Oryctolagus cuniculus: one gene and its partners. The protein of the gene in region 1 purifies or fractionates together with the protein of each later gene. This does not show direct contact. Links are inferred from orthologs where the notes say so. Each region holds a gene or a part of one and is shown in the gene's direction. Other genes may lie near its edges. The genes, in order: ACTL6A, PBRM1, SMARCC2, SMARCD3, ARID1B, ARID1A and PHF10.

Evidence for each region.
Region 2: the proteins of ACTL6A (region 1) and PBRM1 fractionate together in Homo sapiens (co-fractionation; 4 studies listed by BioGRID and IntAct, with this or other methods). This does not show direct contact. The link is inferred for Oryctolagus cuniculus from reciprocal best matches to the Homo sapiens genes ACTL6A and PBRM1.
Region 3: the proteins of ACTL6A (region 1) and SMARCC2 purify together in Homo sapiens (affinity purification with mass spectrometry; 8 studies listed by BioGRID and IntAct, counting the BioPlex papers as one, with this or other methods). This does not show direct contact. The link is inferred for Oryctolagus cuniculus from reciprocal best matches to the Homo sapiens genes ACTL6A and SMARCC2.
Region 4: the proteins of ACTL6A (region 1) and SMARCD3 purify together in Homo sapiens (affinity purification with mass spectrometry; 3 studies listed by BioGRID and IntAct, with this or other methods). This does not show direct contact. The link is inferred for Oryctolagus cuniculus from reciprocal best matches to the Homo sapiens genes ACTL6A and SMARCD3.
Region 5: the proteins of ACTL6A (region 1) and ARID1B purify together in Homo sapiens (affinity purification with mass spectrometry; 5 studies listed by BioGRID and IntAct, with this or other methods). This does not show direct contact. The link is inferred for Oryctolagus cuniculus from reciprocal best matches to the Homo sapiens genes ACTL6A and ARID1B.
Region 6: the proteins of ACTL6A (region 1) and ARID1A purify together in Homo sapiens (affinity purification with mass spectrometry; 5 studies listed by BioGRID and IntAct, with this or other methods). This does not show direct contact. The link is inferred for Oryctolagus cuniculus from reciprocal best matches to the Homo sapiens genes ACTL6A and ARID1A.
Region 7: the proteins of ACTL6A (region 1) and PHF10 purify together in Homo sapiens (affinity purification with mass spectrometry; 3 studies listed by BioGRID and IntAct, with this or other methods). This does not show direct contact. The link is inferred for Oryctolagus cuniculus from reciprocal best matches to the Homo sapiens genes ACTL6A and PHF10.

Annotation. Positions count from the first base shown.
Region 1 is NC_091435.1:100,247,005-100,251,263, reverse strand, and holds the start of ACTL6A (actin-like protein 6A), read left to right. Parts: upstream 1-1,459; 5' UTR 1,460-1,645; coding exon 1,646-1,670; intron 1,671-4,259.
Region 2 is NC_091441.1:97,124,613-97,128,112, forward strand, and holds part of PBRM1 (protein polybromo-1), read left to right. Parts: intron 1-2,285; coding exon 2,286-2,928; intron 2,929-3,500. UniProt on the Homo sapiens protein: Involved in transcriptional activation and repression of select genes by chromatin remodeling (alteration of DNA-nucleosome topology). Required for the stability of the SWI/SNF chromatin remodeling complex SWI/SNF-B (PBAF).
Region 3 is NC_091442.1:58,984,923-58,988,422, reverse strand, and holds part of SMARCC2 (SWI/SNF complex subunit SMARCC2), read left to right. Parts: intron 1-1,999; coding exon 2,000-2,075; intron 2,076-3,115; coding exon 3,116-3,247; intron 3,248-3,349; coding exon 3,350-3,465; intron 3,466-3,500. UniProt on the Homo sapiens protein: Involved in transcriptional activation and repression of select genes by chromatin remodeling (alteration of DNA-nucleosome topology).
Region 4 is NC_091438.1:22,579,849-22,583,918, forward strand, and holds the start of SMARCD3 (SWI/SNF-related matrix-associated actin-dependent regulator of chromatin subfamily D member 3), read left to right. Parts: upstream 1-1,270; 5' UTR 1,271-1,464; coding exon 1,465-1,542; intron 1,543-4,070. UniProt on the Homo sapiens protein: Involved in transcriptional activation and repression of select genes by chromatin remodeling (alteration of DNA-nucleosome topology).
Region 5 is NC_091436.1:10,395,236-10,398,372, reverse strand, and holds part of ARID1B (AT-rich interactive domain-containing protein 1B), read left to right. Parts: intron 1-242; coding exon 243-373; intron 374-2,642; coding exon 2,643-3,137. UniProt on the Homo sapiens protein: Involved in transcriptional activation and repression of select genes by chromatin remodeling (alteration of DNA-nucleosome topology).
Region 6 is NC_091438.1:144,733,246-144,736,745, reverse strand, and holds part of ARID1A (AT-rich interactive domain-containing protein 1A), read left to right. Parts: intron 1-114; coding exon 115-282; intron 283-1,256; coding exon 1,257-1,569; intron 1,570-2,611; coding exon 2,612-2,757; intron 2,758-2,856; coding exon 2,857-2,966; intron 2,967-3,500. UniProt on the Homo sapiens protein: Involved in transcriptional activation and repression of select genes by chromatin remodeling (alteration of DNA-nucleosome topology).
Region 7 is NC_091436.1:634,201-637,700, forward strand, and holds part of PHF10 (PHD finger protein 10), read left to right. Parts: intron 1-495; coding exon 496-579; intron 580-2,537; coding exon 2,538-2,671; intron 2,672-2,755; coding exon 2,756-2,905; intron 2,906-3,500. UniProt on the Homo sapiens protein: Involved in transcription activity regulation by chromatin remodeling. Belongs to the neural progenitors-specific chromatin remodeling complex (npBAF complex) and is required for the proliferation of neural progenitors.

The DNA of each region.
Region 1 (4,259 bases):
CTGTCACAGGCACAGGCAGCGACGTGAAGGGTTTGAGCCTCTTTATAGATGAAGCTGCTTGCAGCCTGTGAAGAGGCAGTGACAAGTGGTTGCAGTAATCGAGGGGAGAACGACAGTGGGCTGGCCTGGCTGGTGGAAATCATCTACTAAGCAGAGCAGACAGACTGGAGATGTATTTAGGCTTAGATGCTTGCCTGAATGAGCATCGATTAGCTCGTTCAATACCTGTCTCACCAGATAAAAGAAACGGATGACCTATCTAAATGTAGTTGGTACAATGCATCACGTCTTAGCCATGAATAAGCATTTTAAAAAATTGCAGGATCCTTCCCCTGGTGGGAGTTCTGGCGTGCAGAGGCCAGCTGTTTCGGCCTTTGCTGACGCCAGGCAAGGACACGTCCCTGCCTCTCGCTGGACACCTGGGAAAGGCATTGGCCCGTTACCTCCCCGCTGAGTCAAGTGTTTCCTGGTTCAGAGAGGAAGTGGCGTCATTCATGCCTCACTCCTGGCTTCCGGCTTTGATTTTGTAACCTCTGGCCTTTTTTGATCATTGGAATTGTATATCTAAGTCGGCTTGTGACCTGGCGAGGTGGTCACGGGGCTCTCCTGTCTGCCCGCCTGTTGACTGCTTGCTTTATCAATATTGGGGTTCCCAGTTGTGAGGCAGTGGCCGAGGGTGGCATCTGTGGGGAGAACCTGCCAGAGGCCTGCACGCAGGCCCGAGTCTGCCGGTGAACCGCTCTCCCTGCTGAGAAGCCAAACGCCGCTCCTCTGTGTGACTGGCGGCTGAGCCCTCAACTTGCCCTTGACCTCCACGAAGAACTGCGCGCCGTGAGGCTCCCTCCTTGCCGAAGTTCGGATATGAGTTCGTTTTCCTTTGCCAAGGGACCTGCTGGTGATTGGGAAATGCCTGTGTCTGGGGTTAACAATGGTTTCTAAGTGAATAAACGGGCCATTTAATTCTGTAACAAAAAATTAAAAAAAAAAAATTGCAGGAGCCTATTAATTTGTTTGATTCACTGGTTGACCCTACACAAAGTGGAGTACAATTTTATTCAACAAATGTTGGTTGAAAATGCTTTTTTTATGGAAAATCTTTAAAAATCCGTAAATTCACTGCAGTGCAAGGTCAGGAATTACTGCTCGTTGACACTTTATCCTATTTCCATACTTTATCCCATTTCCAGCCTCTTTCCTGAGCCCCTTCCCGCCCCAGGTTCCCACCGCGCCTCGGCGCCTGGTCACACCCCTGGGCCCGCCCCCCGACGCCTGGCTCTCCCGCTCCCTCCGCCCACCCTGCAAGCTCCGCCCCCTGGAGTCCCGCAACCCAACTCCTGCCCTCCTTCCGTCGCTTTCCGCCCAACCCCGCCCCCATGGCCACCTTCGATTGGCTAAACTGGCGGAGCCGCGGCGGGGATGCAGCGAAGCCGCATTATGATTGGCTGAAAGGTAGGCCTCCCTCCTCGTGATTGGCTGCTAAGGGGAGCCAGCAAGTGTGGCTGAGCTCTCGGGTGTGTGGACGCCGCTTTGTTGCCGGAGGGGGGTGGCGGTGGAAGTTAAGGGGGTCGGGGGCCAGCGCGTGTGGCGGCCGCTGTAGTCACTTCGCCCGGCACCTTTTCGCCCAGGAATCAAGCCGACGGCAGCCATGAGCGGCGGCGTGTACGGGGGAGGTGAGTGAAGGCGGCCCGGCCAGAGAGCGCGCCTTTTTGGCGTGTGGGGTTTGTAACCGCCGCCCCCAGCCCTCCCCTACCCGGCGGTCCCTTCCGGTCTCCCCCTCTCGGGACCCCGGCCTCCCCGCCCCATCCCCGCCCCGCGCTCTGCCCGCCCCCGGAGCCCACCCGGCTCAGCGTGCGCCTCGGGCGCCGGAGGAGCTGGGCTTTTGGGGTCGCGCGTGCTGCTTCCAGCGGGCCGGCCCGCGGCGCCCCGGCTGGAGTGTCTCGCCTCGGGGTGGCAGCCCCGCGTGTGTCTGCAAAATTCGCCCGTGTGGGGCTTGCGTCTGCGTTTAACCTGGGAGGCCCCCAGCAGTTGGCGAGCGCGGACGGAGGGTGTCCGCAACGTCCCATAGAAGGCAGAGCGGCCGCGAGAGGTGGACCGAGGGGAGAGGGGGCGGCCGCCTCGGTCTGCGCCCTGCGCTCGCGCTGCCTCACGTTCCTCAGCAGCTCCTGCCCATTCTTGACCGTGGAGTCTGCGGAGTTACTCGTGGGAGGGCCTGGTTGGGATGAATCTAGAGACACATGCAATTTAAGGACGCCCGGAAGCTTTGCCTGAGGTCCCGGGCGTCTGTTCTCTGGCTTTTCTTGAGTAGACTGTGTTGTGGTACAAAGATTACCACGGGCTGTGGGCATCGTCAAACTTCTCAGCGCCTTGGCCTTGGGCAGTTTACTTTCCCCGACTTTGCGCCGCTCGCTCGTGGGATGGGAATTCCTTAGCCAACGAGGGTGGCTGCCAAGATGGACCGACATGAAGCTACACCTGCTGCTCCAATTGAAGTCCGTGGAGCGGCAATATCAGCATCACCTGCAAGCTGTTTAGAAAGAATCTCAAGGCCCACCCTCCGTTCTACAGAGTCAGGGCTTCCATTTTTGAAAGATGCCCCAGACAATTGGAGCACTCACTGTTGGATTCACATTTTGGGGTGTGTTTGAGTTAGAGACCCAAAAGACAAATCCGAAATACAGTCAGCCTTGAGTAACTGTGGGCTCCACATCTGTGGATCCCACTAACTGTGGACCAGAAGTATTCAGAAAAAATTGCATCTGTATTGAACATGTGCAGATTTTGTTTCTTGTTATTCCCTAAAGTATAACAGCTGTTTACATAGTGTTTACATTGTACTAGGGATTATAAGTAACATAGAGAACACCTACTTAAAGTATCCAGTAGTCTGTGCCACAGGTTATAGGCAAATGCTACATCGGTTTATATAGTCGACTTGAGTATCCAAGGATTTTGGTGTATGGGGGTAGGGTCCTGTAACCAATCCGCTGCAAACACTGAGGGACTATGTGCTTGCTACTGCTACTGTTTTAGTAAGGATTCTCTTTCTGAAGAGGATGGCATTCCGCAGGTAAAGGGATAGGTAACTTTTCTAAGTTCTTAGTATTTTTGGTGGTGTAGTTTCAGAGTCTTCTCTGAGGCAGCATGCTGAGCCTGTTGCCTCCTCCTTCCTATTTTGTGTCCTTGATTTTCTTATTTTTACTTTGGATCTTGTTAATTCACCTCTTCCCCATCTGAAGATTCAGTCTTGACTCCAGAGAAACTGAGTCTAGACTCTTAGGAGCTCCAGGTTCATTGAATCAAGGATCCGGAGGCTGTCCAGTATTCCTTACAAGGCATTGTTTAGTATGACTGGTAGGAATGGGATAATACTAATGCTAGCAGCTAGCATTTATTAGGTGCGTACTGGAGACCAAGAGTATTCCAAAGGTTTTATGTGCATTATTTTTAATCCATGCAGTAACTCCTATAATCTACAACCACCATGTAAGATGGTATTATTATCCCTGTGTTACTGAAGAAAATGATGTAAAGATAGGAAAGGTTAAAAATCAGCCCAAAGTCATAATTATCTAGGGAGTTGAGAGCAAAAATCTCTGAAATAAAGGGCATTTCAGCCAAGCCCTTCCCTACTCCTTTAAAAAAGCCATTTCTTTGGTTATTTCTCTGTGTGTCATGTTTCAGTTATACAACCATAGTATTACCATGTATGACTTAGGTGTTCAGAATAAAACCACTTCTTGCTAGCTTATTCAGAGGAGTGTAAGGATTATTCAGAAAGTTTATGGAAAATGGAGTTGAATGTTTATTTTAGTGTGAACATTTTTGGAATTTAATCAAGAAAGCTTATGAAAAAACATGGATTTCAAAAATTTTTGCACCAAAATACTTAGTTTTTAATTCATTTTCCATGAACTTTTTGAAGTACTCTGATGTTTTAAAGTCTTTCATGTAGAAAGTACTTAGAATTCACAAAAGTAAGTATGATTTTGTGTTTATAGTGGATCATATTTTTCCAAGGAATTTAGTGTTAAAAGCAACCAAACCATTCACTTAAAAATGTTGAGTAATTGGGCCGGTGCTGTGGCATAGTGAGTAAAGCCACCGCCTGCAGTGCCGGCATCCCATGTGGGTGCCGGTTCGAGTCCTGGCTGCTCCATTTCTGATCCAGCTCTCTGCTGTGGCCTGGGAAAGCAGGAGCTTCTTCCAGGTTTCTGACATGGGTGCAGGGGCCCAAGGACTTGGGCCATCTTCTACTGCTT
Region 2 (3,500 bases), on another chromosome or scaffold:
AGTTGCAGAGAGAGAGAGAGATCTTCCATCCACTGGTTCACTCCCCAGATGGCTGCAATGGCTGGAGCTGTGCCAATCCAAAGCCAGGAGCCAAGAGCTTCTTCTGGGTCTCCCACGTGGGTGCAGGGACCCAAGGACTTGGGCCATCTTCCATTGCTTTCCCAGGCCACAGCAGAGAGCTAGATTGGAAGTGGAGCAGGGGGCCTCGAACCTCTACCTATATGGGATGCTGGCACTGCAGGTGGCAGCTTTACCCACTACACCACAGCGCTGGTCCCATGGATTATTTCTATATAAAGAATTTTTTTCCTTGTTATTTGGTTAAGCAGTGGTACAGTTTTTTGTTTGTCTTGTTTTGGAAGAATAAAAGCCTGATTTTTTTCTCTTTTTTTTAACCAGTTTTTATGATAGTATATCGGTTTACTAATACCCTCTTTTTTTTTTTTTTTTTTTTTTTTTTTTGCCAGGCAGAGTTAGACTGTGAGAGAGAGAGACAGACAGAGAGAGAGTTATAGACAGTGAGAGAAAGGTCTTCCTTATGTTGGTTCACTCCCCTAATGGCTGCTACAGCCAACACTGTGCCAATCTGAAGCCAGGAGCCGGGTACTTCCTCCCAGTCTCCCATGCAGGTACAAGGACCCAAGCACTTGGGCCATCCTCCGCTGCCCTCCCAGGCCACAGCAGAGAGCTAGACTGGAAGAGGAGCAACTGGGACTGATACCCAGTGCCCCTACTGGAACTAGAACCTGGGGTGCCGGTGCCGCAGGCAGAGGATTAGCCAAGTGAGCCACGGCACTGGCCCCCTCCAATTTGTTTTTAAAGATTTATTTTATTTTATTTGCAAGTCAGAGTTACACAGAGAGAGAAGAGGCAGAAAGAGAGAGAGAGAGGGGTCTTCCATCTGCTGGTTCACTCACCAGTTGGCCGCAACAGTCAGAGCTGCGCTGATCCGGAGCTTCTTTCAGTTTCTCCCACGTGGTCGCAGGGTCCCAAGGACTTAGGCCATCTTCTACTGCTTTCCCAGGCCATACCAGAGAGCTGGATAGGAAGTGGAGCAGCCGGGCCTCAAACCAGCCCCCATATGGGTTGCCAACGCTTCAGGCCAGGGTGTTAACCACACTGCACCACATTGCCGGCCCATCCTCCAATATTTAACTACGTTTTTGTTGGTCCTTTTTTTTTTTTTAACAGGCAGAGTGGACAGTGAGAGAGACAGACAGACAGAAAGGTCTTCCTTTACCGTTGGTTCACCCTCCAATGGCGCTGTGGCCGGCGCACTGGGCTGATCCTAAGGCAGGAGCCAGGTGCTTCTCCTGGTCTCCCATGCGGGTGCAGGGCCCAAGCACTTGGACCATCCTCCACTGCACTCCCGGGCCACAGCAGAGAGCTGGCCGGGAAGAGGGGCAACCGGGACAGAATCTGGCGCCCCGACCGGGACTAGAACCCGGTGTGCCGGCGCCACAAGGCAGAGGATTAGCCTATTGAGCTGTGGCGCCAGCCAGTTTGTTTTACATGTATATGTATCATTATTAACAGCTAGCTTTATTGCTGACTTCAATCCATTTTAGTTATTCTCCTTATTGATGCTTATGTTGTCTCAGGCTGGCTCCTGTATTCTTTTAATGTGACCATCGTAAAAAATAGTTGATAGATTTTTTACAATGTGTTGTTTCAAGATACACCAGACTTGGAGTCAGCCATTTGTGAAGGAGTCCTAAACTTTGTATGTTTCTGTTAAAAGGCCAGGATTGTTTGAAATTAACGTTTTAAAACTGTGGTCCTGAGATATACTTCTACTAAGCTGGTCATTATTTCTATGACTTTCAATGGACAGACCTAAAAAATTGAGCATGTCTATGTATATGTGTTTATATTTAAAGATAAAATGCATCGTGGCTCAGTTGATACATTCAATTGCGATTCCAGGCTATGGAGCTTTTATCCATGTTCTTGGTTTTAACATCTGTGTCTCTCCTTCTCCCACAATGAAATCTCAGTTCTGTGGGGTTTCAGAGATGATGGAATAAGTATGCCACGTATCTACTGACTTGCTGTATCCCACATTATTCACAGCTAGCTGAGCGTGACAGTACAAACTGTCCGTTCAAAAATTTGATTTCTGAAAACAGTTAAATAATCTTTTGTAATGTATTTCACTGAAGATATGTTACTGTGTTTTGCAAATCACTTGTTCCTTTCTTATGGTTATGCTACCAATTGTATACAAATTTATATTCATTTATTTCATTTAATCCATTTAACATAAAATTTCTTTCTTTCTTTAGGTAGGAAGAGTGGCATATCTCCTAAAAAATCAAAATATATGACTCCAATGCAGCAGAAGCTAAATGAAGTTTATGAAGCTGTAAAGAACTATACTGATAAGAGAGGTCGGCGCCTCAGTGCCATATTTCTGAGACTTCCCTCCAGATCTGAGCTGCCTGACTACTATCTGACAATTAAAAAGCCCATGGACATGGAAAAAATTCGAAGTCACATGATGGCCAACAAGTACCAAGATATCGACTCTATGGTTGAAGACTTTGTCATGATGTTTAACAACGCCTGTACATACAATGAGCCCGAGTCTTTGATCTACAAAGATGCCCTTGTCTTACACAAAGTCTTGCTGGAGACTCGGAGAGACCTCGAGGGAGATGAGGACTCTCACGTCCCAAATGTGACTTTGCTGATTCAAGAGCTTATCCACAATCTTTTCGTGTCAGTCATGAGCCATCAGGACGATGAGGGAAGATGCTATAGTGATTCCCTAGCAGAAATTCCTGCAGTAGATCCCAGCTTTCCTAACAAACCTCCTCTTACTTTTGACATTATTAGGAAAAATGTTGAAAATAATCGCTATCGGCGGCTCGATTTATTTCAAGAGCATATGTTTGAAGTATTGGAAAGGGCAAGAAGGATGAATCGGTATGTTTTTAAAGCCATTTCTTTTTGAGGATGTGATGTTTAGTGCCAGGCAGTTGAGTGGAAATTGCTTTGATTCAGCTTATGTGTGTGATTATAGTTGTTACCATATTATTCTGACTTAATTAGGCTGAACTTCAAGAGTGAGATATTCCATGGAGAAGAGAGGGCACACTTCTTTCTGTTTTTTGTTTTTTTTTTTTTTTGTTTTTAAGATTTATTTATTTATTTCAAAGTCAGACTTTTGGAGAGAGAGAGAGTTACACAGAGAGGCAGAGAGAGAGAGGGCTTCCATCCACTGGTTCTCTCCCCAGTTGGCTGCAATGACCAGAGCTGCACCAATCCAAAGCCAGGAGCTGCTTCCGAATCTCCCACATGGGTGCAGGGGACCAAGCAATTGGGCCATCTTCTACTGCTTTCCCAGGCCATAGCAGAGAGCTACATTGGAAGTGGAGCAGCCGTGACTCGAACCAGTGCCCATATGGGATGCTAGCACTGCAGGTGGTGGACTCACCCGCTATACCCCAGCACCAGCCTTGAGGGCACGCTTCTTTTTTTTTTTTTTTTTTTTTTTT
Region 3 (3,500 bases), on another chromosome or scaffold:
GAACCAGGAGCTTCTTCTGGTTTTCTCATATGGGTGCAGGGGCCCAAGGACTTAGGCCATCTTCTACTGCTTTCCTAGGCCATAGCAAAGAGCTGGATTGGAAGTGGAACAGCAGGACTTGAACCAGTGTCCTTATGGGATGCCAGCATTGCAGGTGGCGCGGCTTTACCTGCTACACCACAGCGCCAGCCCCTTGCATGAATGCTTTCTGTCCACACATTTATATTAAAAATTCAAAAACACATGAAAATGGAAAAAATTGCCAATACTTGAATTTTCCCCCCATTTTTCCACTCAGAATCATGTACTTAGGGACCTTTTTTTTAAGAAAAATGGGATTTATTCTATTTATTTATAAGTTAGAATTAAAGAGAGAGATCAACCAATTTGTTGGTTCTTTGCCCAAATGGCTGCAAAGGCCAGCAGTGGCCAGGCCGAAGCCAGGAGATTCTTCCAGGTCTCCCATATAGCAGCAGGGGCTCAAGCATTTGAGTCATCCTCCACTGTTTTTCACAGGCACATTAGCAGGGAGCTGCACTGAAAGTGGAGCAGCCTGGACTTGAACTAGTTCCCGTATGTGATGTCAGCTCTGCAGGTGCCGCCTTAACCCTTTGCACCACAGCACTGGCCCTTAGGGACCTTTTGGACATGTGGAGGGAAAAGATGTCTGATATTCAGAACTACCAGTAACGGGAAGAAGAGAAAAAAATTTTTTTGAAATGAAATGTTTCCCACCAAAGATCATAATGGATTCTTTTTTTTTTTTTTAAGTTTAAAAAATTTTTTTTAATTTATTTGAGTTAGACTGTAAACAGAGAAAGAGCTCTTCTATCCAGTGGTTCCCTCTCCAGATGGCCAAAACAGCCAGGGTTGGGCCTGGCTTCATCTGGGTCTCCCATGAAGGTGCAGGGGCCCAAGCTCTCGGGCCATCCTCCACTGCTTTCCCCAGGCCATTAGCAGGAAGCTATATCAGAAGTAGAACAGCTGGGCCTTGAACCAGTGCCCATATGGCATGCTGGCACTGCAGGTGGCAGCTTTACCCACATAGTGGTTTCTTAATCACATTCTCCACATGTGTGGCATGCTAGCTAGATGTCTTTTGGCATAATTGTTACACATTTGGCACAGATAGCACACAGGTTGGTGTCTTCAAAAAGGCCAGCCAGCTAGGCCTCTCTTGTCTTGTGGAAAGCACCAACAGTGGTACTCTGGGAGCACAGATCTGTTTTGAAATCCTGAGCAGTTTCTCCCACCAGACGCTTAGAAGGAGAGTTTTCGAATCAAAAGTTCAGTGGACTTCTGAGGACTGAGCGCCACAATGCCAGGCTTGTATCAATGAGGTTTCTTCACCCCTCCAGTAGAGGTCACTCCCTCATCGGTGGGTTTTGTAGCTGGTTGCTGCTGTGGGTGCTTTACTGCTGGTTGATTTGTGGGCGGTCTGCTTTCTGGGAACCAATGTTTATAGAGACCTCCTTCCCTACCCTCTTCTTCTCCTGCTAGACCTCAGTGAGCTAGGGGCAGCACTGGTGTTTATAAGATTTGTTTTGTTTATTTTAAATGTAGAGTGTCAGAGAGAGGAGGAGAGACAGATCTTCCATCCACTGGGTCACTCCCAACATAATCGCAACAGCTAGGACTGGGCCGTGCTGAAGCCAGAAGCCAGGAGTTCCACATGGGTCCCCAACATGGGCTGCAAGGGCCAAGTGCTTGGACAGCCTCCCACTGCTTTCCCAGGTCTATTAGCAGAGAGCAGCCAGGACTTGAATTTGCACTCTGATATGGGGTGCTGGTGTCACAGGCAGTGTATTCACCTGCTGCACCACAGTGCTGGCCCCTGTTCTCTGCTTTTTAAATGCATTGTAATGTTTTCTGGATAGCACCTGGAAAAATAAACCATGCCAAAAAGATAAACCAACAACCCGGTACTTTATGTAAGTGTTTCCAAAAGATCTGCACTCTATCCTGTTGATTGTACTTCATGCTCAATTTCTCATGGCAGTTACGACACCTGGATCCCGGCAAGTGAAATTGAAGCATCTGTGGAAGACGCACCAACTCCCGAGAAACCTAGAAAGGTAAGATTTTCCCGTGCCCCCACCCCATGAGGGAGGCTGGGACCAGACCACTTTCTGGAGGTGAGGCAGTGAGGCTTCTGTGCCCTTGGACTTTGTTTGAATTATTGTTTATTTATTTTCATTTTTATTTGAAAGACAGAGACAGAGAGAGATCTGTCTGCTGGTTCAGTCCACAAATACCCGCAACAGAAAGCACTAGGTTAGGCTGAAGTCAGGAGCCAGGAACTCAATCCATGTCTCCACACAGGTGGCAGGAACACCTACTTGAGCCATTACCTCCTATCTCCCTGTCGCTCCCCCTCTTCGTGGAGGAACGACACTAAGCCCTGCCTAGGCTTCATATCCGAGTCACGGCACCATTATGTCGCTCCCCCTCTTCGTGGAGGAACGACACAGGACCCTGCGCTGTTCTTTCGTCTGCTCGGCCCTCCCCGGGTTTGCTGCTGGTTCTTCCCGGGTTGGCTACTATCCCTTCCACCTCCGTGGAAGGGCAGTTCCCCCTGGCCACATTCCCCACTTCCGCAGGGGAGCGGCACACCGCCGGCCGGCTCTCTGGGGGGCTGCACGGGTGTTCCTTCAGCTAGATGTTCCCCTTAGATGTTCCTGGTGCATGCCGTCTCTCTCCTCCTTTATAGTCCTCCTCCGCCAATCCCAACTCGGCTGCCCACACGCCGAGTACGCTGCTCTCTTCCAATCAGGAGCAAGTCCTACAGTTTATTGGTTGAACTGGAGGCAGCTGTGCGGAAGCTGTTTACTTCTCTCCCAGCGCCATATTGTGGGAGAGCAGATGCATAGAATAAGTCTTAATTCCAGTAACTCAGTCTAGTCCGGTTTGCTCCCCACATCTCCCAAGGTGCACACTGGCAAGAACCTGGAATTGGCAGTAGAGATGGGAATCAAACCCACGGCACTCCAATACAGCATGTGCCACCTGCTGCACCAGAACCTGCCCACCAACACACATGTGTTTTAACAGAGGTCCCCAGACCCAGCTGTTGCTTCCAGGCTTCCCTCCAGCACCGTCTGCTTTTGTGCTTTAGGTTCATGCAAAGTGGATCCTGGACACAGACACCTTCAATGAGTGGATGAATGAGGAAGACTATGAAGTAAATGATGACAAAAACCCTGTCTCCCGCCGAAAGAAGATTTCAGCTAAGACACTGACAGACGAGGTGAAATTGTGTTCTTTCTTCCTGGAGCCCCATTAAGCACAATCTCAGAACAAATCTTTGCTGGGGACTGTAGGCTGACGCCTATCGCACTTCAACCTGCAGGTGAACAGCCCGGATTCAGATCGTCGAGACAAGAAGGGAGGGAACTATAAGAAGAGGAAGCGTTCCCCTTCTCCTTCACCAACCCCAGAAGCTAAGAAGAAAAACGCTAAGAAAGGGTACATTAGCCCTAACCTTCCCCTGTGTTCACCAT
Region 4 (4,070 bases), on another chromosome or scaffold:
GCAGGGCAATGCTGGGTCTTCAGGGCCCAACTTCAAGTAGGTGTCCCGTTGCCCCGCCCTCACCTGTGTTGACACCGCAGCCCCAGCAGGCCCTTAAACTTGACCCTCTGTCGTCCCAAAGCCCACGGGCCCCTCCTCCGGGAGGAGGAGATAGGGGCGTGGCCTTGGGGCATGGGCGGGGCCAGGGCGCCCAGTCTGGGGATCTCAGGATTCGCCCCTCCTCTTTCCTGTCTCTCCTCCACCCCAGGGACTGCCAGCTCCCTGCACACCGCCCCTTCGGGGGCTCGCTCTCACCCCACCCTGCGCCCCGGCTTCCTCTGGGATGCTGAGGCGGGCCCGACCCCTCCGGGGTCCGCACCCCTAGGCCCTCAAGCCCCGCTTGTCTCCTGCTTCCCAGACGCCCCCACCGAAGCCCCCAGCCCGGCCCTGCGCCGCCTCGCCCCGCGTTTCCCCCTCGCTGCGCTCTCTGAGCCCCGTCCCCGTCCCTCCTTCCGAAATACTTGCCCTCCTGCCCTCACTTTCTCACACAGAGGCAAACAAAGACCCACATACCCAGAAATAGCCTCGCGCGGAGCGGAGCGCGGCGCAGGCCGCGTCCCGGCCCCACGCACGCGCGCAGGCCTGGCGGCTCCCGCGCAGCGAGGCCCCCGGGCGAGGCGTCCGTCCGTGCGCCCTCGTCAACACCCGCAGCCGCCGCGCCGGGCCGCAGGGTGCGGACGCCGGCCGCCAGACAAGGGCACAACACACACACACACACACACACACACACAGCCGTGCGCGCAGGGAGCGCCTCCTCCCCGGCACACCCGGCGCGGCCGGCCTCGGCTCCCCCCCGGATTCCTGCCCGCGAATGTTTCCCTACTTGGCCTGCCAGGTCTCTGGGGAAAGGGCCTCAGAAATGCAGCCGGAGCCTCTCGGGGAGGGAAGAAAGTTGGAACTGACTGTTCCCTGCCTGGCCCTGCCGGCGAATTCCCTAACCGAGCAGCTATTTGTGGCGAGAGCCCGGGTGGCCGGCGAGCCCCCCGCCAGCTCCCCGCGCGGCCCTCGGGCGGCTCCGGGCTGCAAGCGCCGCTACCCTGCGCCCAGGCGGGGCCGGGCTCGCCGCGCACCTCGCCGCTTATCTGCGCTGTTTGGACAGCGCGGGCTGCAAAGGCCGGCGTCCCCGTCCCCGCCGAGTCAACAGGCAGACCCCGGGCCGCCGGACTATTTCTGTCTTATCAGTGCAGGAATGCGGCAGCCGCGGCGGCGGCGGCGGCAGCGGCGGCGGGCGGGCGGCGGCGGCGGCGGCGTGGGCCGTGGGCCGTCAGGGCAGCCCTGAAGGGGCCCCCTCCCCACTCCGCTCGAGTAGAAGTGTGAGAGAGCCCAGCAGGACTCAGAGGGGAGAGTTGGAGGAAAAAAAAGGCAGAAAAGGGAAAGAAAGAGGAAGAGAGAGAGAGAGTGAGAGGCGCCGCTGAGCCCACCCCGATGGCCGCGGACGAAGTTGCCGGAGGGGCGCGCAAAGCCACGAAAAGCAAACTTTTTGAGTTTCTGGTCCATGGGGTGGTGAGTGGGGGAAAGTTAGCGGGGGAGGGTGAGCGAGCTGGCTCGGGCTGAATGGAGGGATGGCCGGGAGGGGCCGGGAGGGCGCTCCCGCGCGCCCACCCCTCCGGCGGGGGCGCCGCGGCCACAGCCCAGCGCCGGGACCGTGCCGGCGCCCTGGCGTGCCAACACGTCGTCAGGCGGCGGGCCGGGGATGGGCGCGCGCGGCGGGGAAGGCAGGCGACTGCGCGGGCTCTTGTCAGGGGCGGGCGTGGGACTGGGGGACTCCCCCCACCCAGGTGGGGGTCCCCTTCTGTGGCCGACATGTTGTCTGGGTTCCCCAGCGGGCCCAGGTGTTACCCCTTCCCCGGGGGTGGGGGCGGGGGACGGGGACGCGGCGCAGCCCTGTTGGGTTGTCTGTTCACATCCGTTGGGACGGTGTCACTCTGTTTCCAGAGCGTGGAGCAGGTGACCCTGGAGGCACTGTGGGCGCGAAAGCCCTCTGGCTGAGCAACCTCTGTATCCTGGCAGGAGGGCACTGGGGCATTTTCGGCGTAGCCCCTGCCATCAGGGTCAGGGAGAGGCTCCCTCTAGGGACAGACTCCAGGTGGAAGGAGTCCGAGCGTCCCCTTGGCAGACGCCTGTCCTTAATATCTCCAAGGTGTGAAGAAAGGGCCGGAGTCGGGGACGTGAGGCCTAGGGATCCCAGGGACAGGGCAGCCCCAGAGGCACGTGGGAAGCCCCAGGCAGCCTCAGCAACCCGAGGCAGGGCACGGAAGAGGCCTGAGCTGGGTGGCTCGGGGGCCACGCTGGGTGTGGAGACGCGAGAGGGGACGACGTCAGGTTCACTGCGGCCACATTTGGCCGTGACCCCCCAGGAGGGCACCTTCTTGGTGAGGGAGGCCAGAGTCCCTGAATCTTGGCCTGTTGTGGGGGTGGTGCTGGTGGCTGGCACAGCTCCCTGGGGGCCCTGGAAGCCTCCCAGCAGAGCAGGCAGTATCCCTGGCCTTGACAGAGAGGGAGCCCAGCTGATAAAGCCAAGGGGGTTCCTGGGTCAGCCTGGCCTCCAGCGCTGGGCATCTCTGGGGTCGACTTTCCAGGGCCTGCATGTCCACCAGCTGCATCACCGGTCCTAGCCTTGCTGCTGCGGGGAGTTCCTTTGAAAAGGCCCAGCTAGCAGGGAGAGAGGCTCGACATGGGTCTCTCTCTCTCTCTCTCTCTCTCTCTATATATATATATATATGGCCAACTTAATGCTTCAGTTCTTAGGTGGCTCGGCGCCCCACCATCCCCACTCCCAGTGCCCCATCTAGGCTGGCGGAGAATGGTCACCAGCTAGCTCCATTCTGGGTTGCCACCCTGGAAGCATGAGTGACAGGGTCAGGTGGGGTGGGGGGAGGCAGACACATGGTCGGGCAGGTTTCACTGCTGGAAAGATGGACAGAGACAGCTGCTGGCTGGGAGTGGGAGGGCTTTAGGGGCAAAGTCAGGGGCAGCATCGGGGCGTCTCCTTGGGCCTAGGGTGAGATAATGGAGTGGATAAATGACAACAGGGGCCCCTTGCTCCCCAAGATTCCTGCTTTTCCCAGTCCCCATCCCACCCACTCCCCTGCTGCTACACAAGCCCCTGAAACCCTCATATCCCTCCTGAACTCTGGACAAGTGGCAGTAGCACTTCACTCATTTGCATCTCATTTACACCCCATCCAACCACCTAGGGGCACATGACCCACCTCATCTCCCTCTCCACCACCCTCTTTGAAACCTGGCTTCACTGGGGTGGGGGTGAGCAGTGGAGGAAGCCTGCTGGGTGTGAAGCCTTGGCTGATGGCTGATGGGTGCGGGTGGACACGCTGCTTCCTTTGACCTGGCCCAGGCCCCCTGGTAGCTCACCTCCAGCCCAGCTCCCCCTCCTCCCAATCAGAATCCTGGCAGGCTGTGACGTCAGCCCCTCAGGTGCCTTTGCCCTTGCTCTGCCTTCAGCCTTCACCCGGGGAGCAAATCTTGGGGTCCAGCTTAGTTGCTGAAGCCTCTGGGTGTGGAGTCAGCTGGAGGGGATGGAGTTTGGGATGCAGAGGTCCAAAAGCAGGGCGTGGAGAGAGGAGGGGGCAGCTGAGGAGGAGCCGGTGCAAGGCAGAACAGCTGGAGGAGTGGAGACCAAGAGGGAGGGAGCCGTAAGGAAAGTCAGAGCAGGGAGCTCAGCCCCTAACTTCAACGAAGCCGCAAACGGCAAAACGCTGCGGCCCTCAGGAACCCGGAGCCCTTCAGGTGTTGTCCTAGCCAAGATGAGCTGCGTGACCTTGGCGAGGTCGCCGTTCTCCTTGAGCCACAGTTGCCTCGTCTGTCAAGTGGGAATGAGAGGACCTGTTCACTGAGTCTGGCAGAGGCGCGTGAGGGTGTGAACCTCCTTTGGAAGGTGGAAAGGCGCCATTGCCAGTTACTGTGCGTTTTTGCGGTACCTTCCGCAGCTCCAGGCTCGGCAATGCCCTGGACAATTGCCTGGCTTCAGTTAGCTTCCTGCAGCGACACGCCAAGCCCCCTCCGCCGAAGCC
Region 5 (3,137 bases), on another chromosome or scaffold:
GAGAGAGCAGCGATTGTGCTCAGCCACTTCTGACCCGGAAGCACTTTGGCTCATGTTTAACCAGCAAAGCCAGAGGATCCTAACCAGCCCCACTGCACTGTTCAGCTCATCCCCTCGTCTTACAACCTAAACACAACCACGGTTGGTCAGCGGCCCTCGGAGCATTGCACGGAGTCCGTGTTCAGCCCTCTCTGCCCCGCTGCTACTTCCTGTCTGACTTGCTCCTCCTTTGCCGTTTGCAGCTACTCCCGAGGCGTGGCGTGTGATGATGTCCCTTAAGTCGGGTCTTCTGGCAGAAAGCACCTGGGCTCTGGACACCATCAACATCCTTCTCTACGATGACAGCACCGTTGCTACTTTCAATCTCTCCCAGGTGAGCTTCGCCAACACATAGAACACAGGACCCGTAAGTCGTGTGGAACGCCGGGGTGTGTGCCCCAGTGGACGGGCACCGACTCGTGCTCAGGCGTGACAGCTGCCCTGGGCCAGCACTGATCAGTCTGCAGTTATCTGGGGAGGTTGAAGGTCCGCCCCTGCTCCCCTGGGATAACTGTGGGTGTGTGTGGAGTAGCTGACAGTAATAAAATTACATTGTTGTTTAGAATGCATAGTAGCAGGCCAGTTGGAGTTCATCACAATGTTAAGTGAAGTTAGCCTTGTGGTGCAGGTAGGAAAGGCAGTGCTCACCATGGAACGTCACCCTGCGTTCCTGGGGGACCTGACGTCTGTCTGCAAATCTTAGAGAAAATGTACAGAATGCCCAGGCGTGCACAGAACGTTCCAGGGAACCCAGGGAAGCTCTCTGTGCCCAGCGTCCCACCAGCACGATGAAGAGCTGGGGCCAGGCCTGTCTCCAGGTCTCATTCCTCCCATCTCTGCCTCCCGGGTGATTTGGACGCTGTCATTTAAACACCTGTTAGCTTGAATGAGCTTCAAGCCCTCCTTTGTTCAAAGCTAGGTTTCAGGCAGCTTCCAGCACAGTAGCTGGAAGAAAAAACAGAGCTGAGGCTTTGCACAGATGTCCAGCAGTCAGCTGGGCTGTGGAGTTTTTTTGTGGGTATTTAGAAATAAAAATGAGGAATGGCTATTTTTCTTGCTTTTGGTGGAAGAAAACTAAAACACCTAATTTCCTTGATTCTACAGAATCTTTTCCTTCATTTTTCTTCTCTCATTTAAGTCCCCCACTGTGGCCCAGAAAGGCAAGTTTTTCATTGAAAGGAAGTATATTAATAAGACCATAAACATTGTACAGCCCTGTGTTAACAGAAAATGAATATATAAAAATATGTATGCGCCCTTTGCTGGAGTAATCAATGTTCATCCTTCTGTTGGATGAACTACTATTGATCACACATTTTCTTTTTTTCTCTTTTCTTTATAAGATTTATTTATTTATTCTAAAGGCAGAGAGAGAGAGACAGAGAGATCTTCCATCGCTGGTTCATTCCCCAAAGCCCACAACAGCCAGGGCTGGGCCAGCCTGAAGCCAGAAGCTTCTTCCAGGTCTCCCACATAGGAGCATGGGGCCCAAATACGTGGGCCGTCTTCCACTGCCTTCCCAGGCCCTTAGCAGGGAGCTGGAGTAGAAGTGGAGCAGCCACGACTCCAGCCAGCACCCAAATGGGAAGGCAGTGCTGCAGGCGGTGGCCTTACCTGCTGTGCCACAGTGCCGGCCCCTCCCACATTTTCATAAACAGAACTGCTTTGGTAGCTTCCCCTTTTCCTGGAGGGGGCGGGGGAGTGCACTTTAAGGGTGAGGGAAGTCCAGGCTCCACCTCTGCCCTTGGACGTGGCTGGGGTTTCCCTACTTCCCAGTGACTGCTCCCGTCCCACTCTCAAGAAACTGACAGTGGGACAGAAAGGTGGGGTTGACATGCCTAACGTCTGTCACTAAAACACCCTTCCAGCACCTGCATGCCGGGGGGAGCTGGAGCGCTCACCTGGAGCGTGTGGGTCTCTTCCCCACGCAGACACTCGCTCGGGGAGCCAGTGCCGGCTCTCCGGAGGCAGTGGTGCGCCCTGCCGCTTTTGTCTTCAGCTAGAGTTGTGCATAATGGAAATGTAAAATCGCGTTTTATGAAACATTCTAATTCATTTATCAGGGACTAAATTGATTTGTTTTTAATTTTCAGTGTTTATGAGCTACTACATTGCTGAAATTATCTTCTCCAAAAGAGATATGGAGAACGTAAATTAGGGTAACCTACGGCACCTGAGATAAAAATAACCATTAAATCCTAAGAATAATAACCATAAAAACCCCAGCAAGCAAGTCTCGGATAAATAATAGAAGAGAACAGAGTCCCTTTGGCTGAAAGCGTCTATGAAATCCACATTCTCACTCTTTTAATAATGTGTGCGTTGCCTCTAAGTCAGAAAAGAAGGTGACGGACGGCCGAGCGCCCCTCCCTGGTAGCACTGGAAAACCCAGCAGGTGTTCGCACGGGTGGGGCAACAGTAAGGAGGCCGCTGCGGGGCGCTAGTGAGAGCTGTGGGTTCTGGAAGTGGGTGCCGCCTGCTGGGGGCTTCCTCTCGTGGCCCAGGCAGAAAGGGCAGGTGTGGCCGGGGGGTCCGCGGGGCTTCTCGCCCGCAGCGTTGCACTCACGTGCCTGTTCTTTCTCCTCCCACCCCACCCCCTCCAGTTGTCGGGATTTCTCGAACTCTTAGTCGAGTACTTTAGAAAATGCCTGATTGACATTTTTGGAATCCTCATGGAATACGAAGTGGGAGACCCCAGCCAGAAAGCACTTGATCACCACGCGGCGAGGAAACAGGACGGCCAGGCGGCGGCGGACGACTCTGGGCGAGAGGAGGCTGAGGCCGACGGCCTGGACGAGGACGAAGACGAGGACGAGGAGGACGAGGAGGACGGTGAGAAGACTGAGCCGGAGGCCAAGGGCAGCCCGGGCCTGAGCGCCCCGGACGCCACCGCAGACCCCAAGGAGAAGCCCAAGCAAGCCAGCAAGTTCGACAAGCTGCCCATCAAGGTCGTCAAGAAGAACAAGCTGTTTGTGGTGGACCGGTCCGACCGGCTGGGGCGCGTGCAGGAGTTCAACAGCGGGCTCCTGCACTGGCAGCTGGGCGGCGGCGACACCACCGAACACATCCAGACTCACTTCGAGAGCAAGATGGAGATT
Region 6 (3,500 bases), on another chromosome or scaffold:
TTCTCTGTCTTTTCCTCTGACTCTGTCACTCTGCCTTTCAAATACATACCTCATATATACATACATACATAAACCTTTAAAAATACTAACTGTATGGCTACTACCCACAAATAGGTTATATGCAGAGGAATCCCCAGATGCCCCAGTACAGTTCCCCCCAGCCCGGCTCAGCCTTATCTCCGCGTCAGCCTTCTGGAGGACAGATGCACACAGGCATGGGCTCCTACCAGCAGAACTCCATGGGGAGCTATGGCCCCCAGGGGGGTCAGTATGGCCCACAAGGTGAGTATACTACCCAACTGGGAGTAGGCGGAGGAGAAAATAGTTCCTCACTGATATGTTGTAGAAGTGAGGTGTCCTTTGCCTTAAATCTACCCATCTCAGACTCTGATGTAGGGTTGTACTGGGTTCCATCTTGCCTCTCCTTATCTTTGTCACCATGGAAAAGTATGAGTTTCCTAAGTTTTATTTATAAAATGGGGATTAGGTGTTTAGCCCAGAACTGAGCACAGACTCTTTAGATGTTAGCTGTGGATGTTTTGTTTTGTTTTGTTTGTTTTAATGAATAAGTCCTAGTAGAATAGATTGTTACTTAAAATCAGCTCTTGTCTTGAGGTTGTCGTGGTATAGCAGGTAAAGCCACTGCATCCCAAATGGGCCCCAGTTTGAGTCCCAGCTGCTCATTCTAATCCAGCTTCCTGCTAATGCGTCTGGGAAAGCAGTGGAAGATGGCCCAAGTGCTTGGGCTGTTGCTTCCACATTGGAGACCTGGAAGAAGCTCCTGGTTTCAGTTTGGCCCAGCCCTGCTTGTTGTGGCCATCTGGGGAGTGAACCATTGGATGGAAGACCTCTGTGTCTGTCTGTCTCTCTCTCACTCTGTGTAACTCCATCTTTCAAATAAATAAATCTTTTAAAAAACATACATAGATATATACATCAGCCCTAAGTAGATCTAAAGGTGAATATCTTGCACAGAGCATGGGATAGAAAGCAAGGTGAGTGTACTGAAAAGAAAGGATTCCTCTGGGGATTTAAGGGCCCAGATGATAGCAAAGCCAGCCTTGCTCACCTCTTTTTTAAGATGGGGAAACACTACTGCTTTACTTAGTTTTCGCATGGGGGTAAAGGCTACCATGAAGTTTACCTCTTTCCTGACCAAATAGTCAATGATTCTCATTGTTTAGAGTTTTAGAGCTGTGAGTTGCCAGTGAGTCACTAACTCAGTCTCTTGTTTCCTCTCCCCCTCCCCCCTCCAGGAGGCTACCCCAGGCAGCCAAACTATAATGCCTTGCCCAATGCCAACTACCCTAGTGCAGGCATGGCTGGAAGCATAAACCCAATGAGTGCTGGAGGTCAGATGCATGGGCAGCCTGGCATCCCACCTTATGGCACACTCCCTCCAGGGAGAATGAGTCATGCCTCCATGGGCAACCGGCCTTATGGCCCTAACATGGCCAATATGCCACCTCAGGTTGGGTCAGGGATGTGCCCCCCACCAGGGGGTATGAACCGGAAAACTCAAGAAACTGCTGTCGCCATGCATGTTGCTGCCAACTCTATCCAAAACAGGTAAGGCCTGGAAAGTAAAAGGGTGTCAGTGCAAGGAAATCTACCATAGACCCATTTAGTGATTGAGGTGCTTCTGGAACTAAATCAGAACATTGTATGTATGCACATGTAACAGGTAGAAACATATCAAGAGCTCTTTAGAGACTAGGTTTTATTAGATTATAGTGTTTAAAAAAAAAAAACAACAGAATTATTGGTTCTTAAGCATCTTATATTGATATCAAATTTCACATGACCAAATATGTATATAAAGGACTTTATACTATATGTAAAGAACTATAAACAGATTATGTTGATTAGCAAAGTAAGTCTTCAGGGGAGGTGGATTCACTTCTGTCAGTCTAATTTTTTGGTTTCTAAAAGGATGGTTAGTGATAAACATGATTTGAATCTGGTGTGAAGAATGGAAGAATGGTAGTATTGTGGTTGTTGATGGTCCTGTGCATTGACTGGTATTGAAGTGCAGGAGGCTCCTGTGTGAGGTCCAGCGACTTGAAGAGTTATCTCTTCATCAGTCTCAGACTTCTGTGAATATGATTTCACTGTTATTCAAGATACAACTCCTTATACCACCCTATTGTTAGTGCCCATGACTCTTAAAATGAATCTCATTGCCGTATTGATAAACCACAATAAAACAGAGCAGTTGACTAAAGAAGTGGGTTTGGTAGACCTTCACAGTGATGAAGTGCAAAGTTTGTGTTATGACCATCAAGAAAGATTGTAAAGCCATCTCCAGATGCTTTGTCCAGGGGTCCAATTTGATTAAGGCTTGGTACAATTGAGCATTTCATTTAGGCTGTTAAAAGGAAATACAACTTGAGGGGGTGATTTATAGAGTTCAACCCTTCTTAGACTCTTGTGGGAAGTAGAAAATGAGAATATCTAACTGTTACATAGTTCTATTTGGGGGAAGACCCATATGCTTTTTCCTTTTAAGCCTAACTAGATGGTCATACAGCCTTAATTTTAATTAGCTCAAATCCCAATCTGAAAGCTTCATGTTTGTAACCTATCTCTCACTTTCCCTCTTCTTCCTTAGGCCACCAGGCTACCCCAATATGAATCAGGGGGGCATGATGGGAACTGGACCTCCCTATGGACAAGGGATTAATAGTATGGCTGGCATGATCAACCCTCAGGGACCCCCATACCCCATGGGTGGAACCATGGCCAACAATTCAGCAGGTATGTTCTTGCCTTGCTCACCCTAGAGAATGTTTCAAGAGTGATCGTCACATGCTAACTAATGTATTGGACATGCGAATTATGTCCTCTCTTTTATAGGGATGGCAGCCAGCCCAGAGATGATGGGCCTTGGGGATGTCAAGTTAACTCCTGCGACCAAAATGAACAACAAGGCAGATGGGACACCCAAGACAGAGTCCAAATCCAAGGTATCGAGTTTGTCGTGACTCCTTTCAACTTTGGATCCTATTCTTTTTCAGTGATAGGAAGGGAAAAGAAAAGAGAGTGATGAGTCTAGCCTGTTAGGACATCACTAAGTAATCTGAAAACCCCGCAGTTGCCTCTTCTTATCATGAAGGGGCCCAGAATAATAGCTCATTGAATTAGGTTTGAGTTAGCTCAAAGAATTGTGAAGTAAATAGCGTTGATTCTCATACCTCTGTAACACTGTAAGACACTGCTGTGTAGAAGTCTCTGAATTGTTTGGCTGGTGCCCTCTGTGAAACTGACTGCCTTCTGTACTTACTGGAACATTGATAGACGGTATGCACCATGGACAGTTAGTTCCTGTCCTCTTTCTGGACCTTACTCACAGCAGCAGGAATGGTTAGTGGCCTGTGTTCTATAAAGGGGGAGATGACGCTGAGGTCCTCGGCCTCCCCATGGGTTGGTCATAGTGTGTTCTCTGTCAGACTGTATGGCAGCCTTGGTACATGCTCGGTGCTCAGATCATCTCAAACGTT
Region 7 (3,500 bases), on another chromosome or scaffold:
TAGCTTATCAACCACTGAATTCTTGGATGTGGATTATTGGTAATATATATTTTATTCTTGTGCGCTCTGATTTTCATTTATTGGCATTCAGCTTCTCCACCTATTGATGTGTTATTATGTCTCACGAACTGATATAAAAGCAAAATGAGAAAGGGGACTTTCCTGGAGAAATTTAAGACAAAACCCATCTCTAGCCATGAGTTTGTTTTGCCACTGCTCCTTGACTTTAGGAATGAGTTAGTACAGAAGCCATGCTTGAGTTGCAGGAGGACTACCTTTGATGAATTGTTCCGTACAGTTATTTATGTTATCTTTGGGTTATTCTGTTTTCAGTTTTATTCCTTGAATTCAAACAATTTTTGTGTAGCCCCTTTAACAGTATTTGAGATACATGACATGAAGTACTTTTAAACAGAAAATTTTTAAGCTTTTGTAAGTTTTATAATGCATAATGCTTTACTGTTATTAATAGTCTTCTGTTCTTCCCTTTTGGAGATTTAGAGAGACGAGATTTGTCTCATAAGGAGAAACTGTACCTGAGAGAGTTAAACGTCATCACAGAAACTCAATGCACTCTAGGTAATAGAAGCTTGCTCTTTTTTTTTTTTTTTTAAAGATTTATTTATTTGAAAGGCAGAGTTACACAGAGAGAGAAGGAGAGGCAGAGAGAGAGAAAGAGGTTGTCCATCTACTGGTTTACTCCCAATTGGCTGCAATGGCTGATACTGCACCGATCTGAAGTCAGGAGCTTATTCTGGGTCTCCCATGTGGGTGCAGGGGCCCAAGGACTTGGGCCATCTTCTACTGCTTTCCCAGGCCACAGCAGAGAGCTGGGTTGGAAGTGGAGCAGCTGGGACTTGAACCAGCGCCCATATGGAATGCAGGCAGTGACTTTACCCACTATACTACAGCGCTGGCCCCAGAACCTATACTTTTAAAAAAATACCATGCAGGGTGCTGGTGCTGTCATGTAGCGGGACCCTGCACCTGTGCTGGAGACCCGGAAGAAGCTTCTGGCTCCTGGCTTTTGGCTGCAGATTGGTGCCACTCTAGCTGTTGTGGCCATCTGGGACGTGAACCAGCAGAGGGAAGGCCTGCCTCTCTCTCTGTCTCTCTCTCTCTCTCTCTTTCTTTCTCTTTCTCTTTCTCTTTTTCTCTCTGCCTGCCTGCCTCTGCCTCTCTGTAACTCTGCCTTCCAAATAAATCTTTAAAAAAAAGTATAGGTTCTTATCTCTTAAAAGGGAAATTTTGCTGAATATTCAGTTTTGTGTAATATTCTCCATACTTTATACTTTTCCTTTGATAAGCATTTTAATGTAGTGTATAGTGTGGCTCTTTTTTTCTTTTTTAAAAGACATTAATATAAATTATTTGAAAGGAGGAATTAGAGGGAGGGAGAGGCAGACACTGGCTCACTCCTCAAATGGTTCAAAGCCAGGAACACTGAATTCCATCCGGGTCTCCCTGTGGGTGGCAGGGTCCAAGCACTTGAGCCATCCTCCGCTGCTTTCCTAGAAGCATCAGCCGGGAGCTGGACGTGAAGTGGAGGAGCCAGGACTTGAACTGTCAGTTAACACAGGATGTTGGCATCAGCCCTGTGTGGCTCCTTTTCTGTGTGAATGCACGAGAGTTCATTTTAGCAGCTGAGTAAAATCTGACACTATCACGTTTTGAAAATTGTGTTCATGATGTGTGTATGCGCTGATGCTTTTGGTAAAGTTTGGGTTGATTATAATATTTCTGGTATGGAATTTGAAGGCTAGGAAAAACCAGTAGTTTGAAAAGCTTTTTTTTTTAACTGATATCCTGTATCCTGTTAGGAGTTAGACTGTATTGTTTTTGGCAGTTGTTTGTAGATAAAGGGATATATGCTTATATGAGGGTACTTCAAAAAGGTTTTGGATAATGAAATTAAAGGATAAGTTTATTTTGGTACAAAACAATTTTGAATTAATGCATGCTGAGGGTCTTCAAAAATTCCATGCAAAATGGGTGTTAAGAAAATACCATGCATGGGTTTCAAAATCTTTTGCATCCAAATAAATTTTATTGTCATTTCCTATGAACTTTTTGAAGTTCCTTTGTAGAATACATAGGATCTAAAAAACTCATTTGGTTGAAAATGGATTTATTTATTTGAGAGGCAGAGAGAGCAGACAGAGCTAGTGGAGCCGCAGCTGGGAGCCATGAACCCGTCCGCATCTCCCTGTTGGGGAGCAAGAGCCCAGTCGTGGGTGCTCTCCCTGCTGCCTCCCGGGCTGCGTGGCAGGAACCTGGATCAGGAGCAGAGCTGGGGTGGACAGGCTTCGGCACGGGACGTGGTCTCAGCTGGCATCTCAGCTGTGAGGCCAAATTCCCACCCCGATCTTGCTTTTTGGTTGCTTGATGTCATTATACTACAGGTACTACTTTTAGCTGTTTTAAAATAGTTTGCTTTGTTTGAAAACCTTCTAAATGTAGTTTGAAAGAGAGGCAAATTCAAGAGTGTTTTTGTTCCCTTGAGAGTTACTTTCTTTTTAAAAATTTTTCTAATACAGGTTTAACAGCATTGCGCAGTGATGAAGTGATTGATTTAATGATAAAAGAATATCCAGCCAAACATGCTGAATATTCTGTTATTCTGCAAGAAAAAGAGCGTCAGCGAATTACAGACCATTACAAAGAATATTCTGTGAGTGACTGGGAGTGACCACCGCGCCTTGTTTGGGTTTGGGAGGATGACATGTGACTTTCAACTGCACTGTTTCTGTTTCAGCAAATGCAACAGCAGAACACTCAGAAAGTCGAAGCCAGCAAAGTGCCTGAGTACATCAAGAAAGCGGCCAAGAAAGCAGCTGAGTTTAACAGCAATTTAAACCGGGAGCGCATGGAAGAGAGAAGAGCCTACTTTGACTTACAGACACATGTAGGGTGATTTAAGCTCAGGAGTCTCTGGGCCTAGCTCCTTGCTTGTCACTGCAGAGTGGCGTTACCCCCTTACTGTTTGTTATGCTACCTGTCCTCTTCCTCCCACTGGAACGTAGGAAGCCGTGTGTAGTTACGTGCCAGGGACACCCAGCCTGCTGTCTGGGGAGCTGTGTGCCCTTCATTGCGGCTCTGCTGAGTGAGACTGCAGTAGCTGCTTCTCATACTCTGTGTGTGTCCGAGGGTGTCAGAACTCTCCATGTGCCTTGATTTCTCAGTTCTGACCGCATGAGGTTGGGACTGGCGTCATCACCGTTTCATACGTGAAGAAGTTGAGCCTCAGAGGGGTTGTGTAAGCCGCCCGGCTCCTGTCCTCGTTATGTGGCGAGCGCGAGAGGCACTGCGCTTCTTGGGAATTGTGCTCACAGTCGAAGGCAGACAAGACCGTGCTGTGTCTAGCTGGGAAGCACAGGTCTCTGCTCCATGTTCCTTAAATCTGTAGCTGTCGTAAAGGGGGAAGGGCGCACGCAGTGGAGAGCAAATCGGCTTCCTTTCCCGAAGGAATTCCATGATTCTAGGCGTGGAATGAGCTCTGT